Linked DNA regions of Kluyveromyces lactis. The protein of the gene in region 1 interacts with the protein of each later gene in a biochemical or structural test. Links are inferred from orthologs where the notes say so. Each region holds a gene or a part of one and is shown on either strand. Other genes may lie near its edges.

Region 1 (4,198 bases):
CTTTAGTTTTTTTGGAGGGAAGAATGATGCGTATAGTAAAGAAACATCGTAGGAGACCATTGTAATTTCCAATCCTTCTTCCTTGTTGAAGTGATCAATCAACTCTCTTAATGTGATATCACCTTGAATATCGAATCTATCCCATATTTTATCGAAAGTCTTATCATTGTATTTACCCTTTTGTGATGCGATTGGTTCTGAGAAACCGAAAAATGGAAGAGCTAAATTCACAAACCCGTTCTTGTATTGTTCAATATCTGTCTTTCCAGCGACGACTTTGTATAGTTCTAGGTTGACCAATCCTGTAACCAAAGCAGTGGTTGTAGCGATGGCAGGAATGATACGGCCAGCAATGAACTTAGTCTTTTGACGATCAGCTGGTTCGATAGAGTAGTTTAGAGCACGGTTGTTCGATGCAGCAGTAATGAACTCAATATGATGGTTTGTATCGTCATCCTTTTCAAATTCAACTGGGATTAGTTGGAAACCAGCTAAGGTAGAAGCATCTGGCAAAGAAGCTGCCAAGTTTTCTAAGACATCGCCACCAAGCTGGTTGTTCGCGTTTGGATCTGGTTCATCGTCATTGGTTTGAATTTTGATGTCAGCTTTTGGAATAAATTCAGGAACTATAAGCTTTGATAGGACGGATTGATAGTAGTTAATGTCTGGTTTACCATCATCTCCCTTTAGACCATAATTGAACGCACGCAAGTTAGCAGATGCAACGATGAAGTGGAAGTGATCTGGGTTTTCGATATTGAAGACTAATGGTTCAGGGGCACGCTTTGGACCAGACCAGAATGGCTCCCCGGTGGATGTTGTTGCATCCTTAGGGAAGTTGTAAAGAAACTGTTGGATATCATAACTAAACTTCTTTTCAAATTCTAATCTTGCCCATTTGACACAATCTTCAAAGTTGTAAGGTCTATTGTTTAGACAATCACTAATTGATTCTAAGATACCTTTGGCATCTGGGGCTTGTTTCAAAGTTTGTTCTACGAAGTTTGGTTGCGTCAAGTATAGGTTAACATTTTCAGCTGCGTCAGAGAAGTAGCCTTGGAATAGGGATTTGGCCCAAGCGATAGTGTGATCAATCTTATTAGGGAATGAACGCAATGTACACAATGGGATTGACTTTTCAGGAGGGTCTCTTGAAGATGAATAAGATTCTGTCAGGTTAGGGATAACCACTTGTGTATTACCCTTTGTCCCCAATGTTCCCGATTCTAGTAAAGGTTTCTTGTAGAACACACAACGACGGTCGACATAGGTACGAGCATCCACATTATCCAATGCGTTGGTAACGAAGTCTAATTGATTCCAAAAAGCATCGTTGAAAATATTCTCTGTTTCAGCACCAACTTTGTCAATCTTTGGCTCGATCTTGCCCTTCAAATCAGGATTCATTGCACTTACAGCATCAGCAGCAACTTCAGATTTATTTCTGCCGACATCCTTTGGTCTGAACAAGAATTGACGATTCAAATTCGACTTTTCAATTGAGTCATTGTCGGTAACAATAATTTTACCTTCAGGGCCAGAAGCCAAACCTAGTAAAGCCCAATTCTTGAGCATCTCACAACCGATCGCACCTGAACCCACTAGGAATACCTTCAAATTTGCGATTCTCTTTTGGAATTCCAAACCGAATACGGAAATTTGGTTATCGTAACGAGAGTTGATTGGTTTCGTGGTATCTGCATTTCTTGGGAAATCTTCAGAATCTGGTAGAGATTCGATGGAATCGAAATACATGTACTGTTTAATAGGAGTGAACTTACCGGAGGAGGCCTTTAACACTTCTTGAGCAACCAGACCACCGAAGAAAGCAACGATACCTGGAATATCACCTCTTGCTTGGTTAGCTAGTTCTGTGATGAGCTTTTCATCAACTTTCCCCTCAGAACCCAGCACTTCAGGTTGTTGTGTAGCTAAATCTATAACGAGTTTAACTAATTCATTAGAATCTTCTTCATAAAATGGCCTTGGCAATTCACCTTGATGTCTAACTTGGAACTGATGTAGGGCCTGGAAACCCAAGTGTAATTGTGCAGTAGTCTCGAATTTGGCGAAATCCGAGTACAGGAACTCTGGTGTTGCCAAAGATTCCCTTAAAGACTTGAACGTTAATTTCTGTGGCATCTTGACCTCGGTGAACAGACCACCTTTCTTGTATGTACCAAGATCCTTAACAGAACCAATCTTGAATGCGAACGGACCCAACACCTCGACCTTGTAAGGAGTACCATCATTCAACTTCTCAAGACCTTCCACCTCGGAGAATTTGACGTAATTGCCATCTTCTAACCCATGTCTGTTATCGTCCAACATGGTCACTGTACCATCCGACTCGATATCAGAAACAATACCTGTCTTTGGCTCTTCACCAGTAGTATCAATAACGGTAAATTCTTCACCTAAATCGACGAAAACGTTACCAAATAACCCACGGGTCTCCGTAGAAATGAAACCGATACCGTGAGAGTGTGTATACTCATTCAACTTCACCTTTTCTTCTAGTGAAATCGTGTCTGTCACAACAACTACTTGGAATTCAGACAATTGTGACACGTCTTCTAGCCCCTCTAGCACCTTCACTGGCACGTATGAGTTTAATTCGGCTAATTTTGCCTGTGATACTTTATCTCTAGCTTGCCCAATATCTTGTTCTGACAGGAAAAACTGCGTAGAAAGATCCTGTAAAGCGACAGCGCTTGGATCATAAAGGGTTAAAGACTTAACACCGGCCAAGACAACGTTCTTGGCAATCTCGACACCTAAACCTTTTAACCCAATGATCAAAACGTTCGAATGTTGCATCTTTAACATCGCTTCTTTACCTAATACGTACAATTGACGAGAGTACAAGCTCTCGTCAATTTCTTCGCCATCAACCTTAATATTCGTCATATCTGATACTAACTTGTGATGCAATGTGATCAAAATGAACGAACGGTTCACTTCTTGTTGCTATTGTTGTTTTAAGGAAACTGGTTTGTAGTTGTTTATAGGTTGTTGGCCTTATTAATTCGGTTTTTGCCACTTTGGGTTCGGTCACGTGAGTGGTTGAGTTTTCAGTCACGTGATATGAATGGAAGATGTTCGAATACAATACGACAGAAAGTGAAGCATTTGAGGTGATAGTATGGTTCCAAGAGCCCATATAAATTGTTTCGTAAATAATTAATTAATACGAGACAGTAATCACTTGATTTAAACCCATTTGGCATGCTTGAAGCCATCATTGCATACAATAAATGCATTTACACCAGCACACCACATAATATTTGAATGTTCGTCAAATGTGATATTTGATTTTCCCTTACCTTGAAGACGAGATGTCCTTCTCAAGAGATAAAGAGAGAGGGAGAGACTTCGACTGGCAAGGACAGCGCGATTGTTTACTCTACCCACAGTCTGACAACCCTATATATCTAATTTTCCATGTCCCATTGGATCAGACAAGAATTGTACGGCGGTGCCATCAGCACCGTCATTCCCAAGACGTTTCTTGATGCTTCAATGCTAAGGCAAGTACCAGACACACAGGAAGTGTTCGTGAATAGCAGACGTGAGAATGAACCTAGTGAGGATGGGCTCGGGTTCGATGAAAGTGTGATCGTAGACCTAATGCAGCGTGTGGAAGAGAATAATGACAGAAAAGCGTTAGATATCCATTTGGCAGAAATTTCAGAACTCAACGGATCACAGAAATGGACAGTAATTGACCATCAAGAGCAAACGGAACTCAAATCACAGACATGTATCGTTGTTGAGACCGCATACAAGTGGGGCAAACAATCGATGAAGGAAACCGTAGTAATGTGTGTTGCATTGCTCAGGTTGGATCAATTCGATACCGACGTCATCATTTCTGTTCACGTGCCTATCTCATCGGAACAAGAACTGAAGGCCATGGAACAGGCAATTGCGCAAAACTCACCGGAAAAGCTACCTCAAAGGGTGCACGCGTCCTATTCGTTGCTTCGGGACATGATCTCGAGCTTCAAAGTGGAGGATCCATCGTTATTTGCATGATCGAAACCAGGTATAGTAAAAGTATAGTAAATTATATATCCGGGTAATGAATTTCTTTAAGAATGAGTGTTTCAACTATGGAAATGGTATTATCAATGATAAACAATACATACTTATTCCTCCATCAGCTAGACTCTCAACGGTATATCACTACGAGCGG
Region 2 (2,597 bases), on another chromosome or scaffold:
ACAATATAGATGAATATTAGTAGGATAACAATTACTTGTTAAAGGTATTTATTTGGAGAGAGAGCAACAAAACTGAATATTTATACATCCTAACAAGATAGGAGTGGTTGGTAGACAGTTTCAAACGTTGTTATCACTTACCTATTTACATACTAATTGGTACCATTTTCGCCCCTTCAAAGTTTCAAAAAAATGTCCTGACTATGGGAAAATTGCGGGGAACCACGTGACTCACACGAGTTATTCCATTTGCGGCACACAGTTGCAACTGGTGATTCCAGCATCCAGACGTTAACCGTATAACTGGAGGATATAGGTCCTCTCTCATGGCTTTAATTTCTCAGTTTTCAGTTGAATATACATGTATATATTACTTGAAATGGTATTATGTCCAAGGTTTTGTCCCTCAGTTTCTTTTATTGGAAGTTCAGGTTTAGATATCAATAGTTGGAGTGAATGCAGTATATGCTAGTTTTGATGGATGAAGTGGATATGAGCATTAACTTTTAACTTTCAAATTTCAATCGTCGTCGTCACTGACTTCTATATCACTTAGTTCCATACTATCGTTATCGTCATGTGCTTGCTCGTCGTCTGATTCGTCCATATCCGCATCCTCATCCTCATCATCTGTATCATCGGAACTGTTCCATTTCCCAAACTGCTGTATGTATTTTTCCTTGGTAGCGTATTTGTTGATGTATTCATGTATCTTTTGTTCATACATATCTTTATCCTTCAGTTGCAACGTTGCTGCTTCGTTATTCAAAGGGTCCGACCCATTTGGCTCCTTCAACAACCCTGGGATCATCCATTCCACGATGTTTAAAAGGTCGTATAGCGGAGACCACGTAGAGTTGATCACGTCCAAACAGATCGACCCGGATGCAGCATCGATGTTCGGATGGAATATCTTGTTGACAAACCCTATACTGGGCGATTTGTAAGGATAGTTGTCAGGTAACTCAACGTGTAACCTCCACACCCCCTTTTCATACGGTGTATCCTTGGGACCATGAAATTTTATATGGAACTCTTGCATCTTATCTTCAACCAACTCAACGTCATGATCACTCATCAAAAGTTTCATGACGTCCGTTTCGATCCTCCTTTTTGAATTAGAACTGATTTCAAAAATGTAAACTTGTCGTTTATACACAAGTATATCGTGTAACGAGCCATTCAAGATTATAGTTAGTATTCTGAACAGATCATTCAAACTTTAGTCATAAAAGATACTGAGACACAGCATCTTAAAAAAAAGAAAAAACTCCATTTCAACGAACATACCTCATCTTTAATTAATAAGCTTGACCGTAGCGTGCCTATCGAATACAATAACGCGATATCAGCACCAAACGATTCTATTATCGTTGTCTTAACGCCTGGAACAGCAAAAGATGATGAGTGCTTTCCTTGTTGAAGGGGTTAGCAACTTAAAAGGATCTTTTTGAAGTTCACTTTCCACAATTTTCAAATTCAATGATGGCAGAAGACAGGAAGTCACGTGACAGGAAGAGCAAAAAAAATAGAATACAATGCACAAAAGAGAACCTCTCGGAATTGGGCAGCTTGTATCATAGCATCCCCGTCTTATTAATCTGATTCTGATTTCAAAGTCTCAACTTCTTGTTGTACCGATTGAAGCCTTTTCCTCAGAGAAGCCAGTTTCTTTTCGCGGTCTTCTGACGAACCAAGAAACAATTCGGTTCTGCTACTGTCGTCCAACAAGTTGAAAAGCTCCACCATATTAGCTCTTCTAGACAATAGGTCTTCTGCTGTGATTGTCTTGAGATTGACTTTCAAATCTTGTGGTTGTTCGGTTCCTTGCGTGGTGGTCATTGCGAAATACGATAATACTTTGATAAAACACTGACAAGATGTCGAAAATAACCAGAAGACACAATGGTTGCAGCTAATACGAGTAAAGCTTTCTGAAATGATATCAATTCCAGCGGATACTGAGTCGTTGATACTGAGTCGTTGATACTGAGTTGCTTAGTGAGAAAGAACGAGGATTTCAACGAGCATCTGAACAGATGTAGATGTTTATATCTGTTTAAAACTAGAGATTTCCCATTAAAAAAAAAAAATACGTAAAAGTATATGAAATGAGTTTAGTGCAGAGATTGAAATCTGGCAAACTACCTCAAAGATGAGAAACTGGGCAACGGCAACGCATCAACCAGTTATCATTATCACTCGCATAATTTACATTAATGACAGATTTATCTAACGTACACTTACACGATTTACTGAGCGAAACTTTGTACATAAACTTGGATCAGAAACGATCTTTGACCGGGAAGCTCATCGCTATTGATTGCAAAGCAAACCTTCTACTGGATGAAGTGGTCGAAAATAATGACGGCCATGTACGGAAGATGGGTTTAGTAAGTGTACCATTTGTTTCTGTACGGTCCGTAAAAGTTAGAAGGGAACTGGTCGACACTATCAATGCTCTGAAATTGAATATTTCTTCCCAATACGTATGATAATACAAATTAAAATAAAAAACTGATCTAACTGTTCCCAATAGGTACCTACAGACTTAATATTTCATTGGTTGAAGAGAGTTCAATATTTCACTGTGGCCC

Evidence for each region.
Region 2: of the proteins of UBA1 (region 1) and UBC8, one has a biochemical effect on the other in vitro, tested with the Schizosaccharomyces pombe proteins (2 studies listed by BioGRID). The link is inferred for Kluyveromyces lactis from reciprocal best matches to the Schizosaccharomyces pombe genes uba1 and ubc8.

What each region holds. Positions count from the first base shown.
Region 1 is NC_006038.1:1,252,746-1,256,943, forward strand, and holds the start of UBA1 (E1 ubiquitin-activating protein UBA1), read right to left. Parts: upstream 2,911-4,198; coding exon 1-2,910. Other genes in the region: Ran GTPase-binding protein MOG1, read left to right, coding at 3,445-4,038.
Region 2 is NC_006037.1:973,235-975,831, forward strand, and holds UBC8 (E2 ubiquitin-conjugating protein UBC8), read right to left. Parts: upstream 1,296-2,597; coding exon 1,291-1,295; intron 1,125-1,290; coding exon 521-1,124; downstream 1-520. Other genes in the region: HTL1 (Htl1p), read right to left, coding at 1,597-1,842; MAK31 (Mak31p), read left to right, coding at 2,220-2,495; MAK32 (Mak32p), read right to left, coding at 2,552-2,597.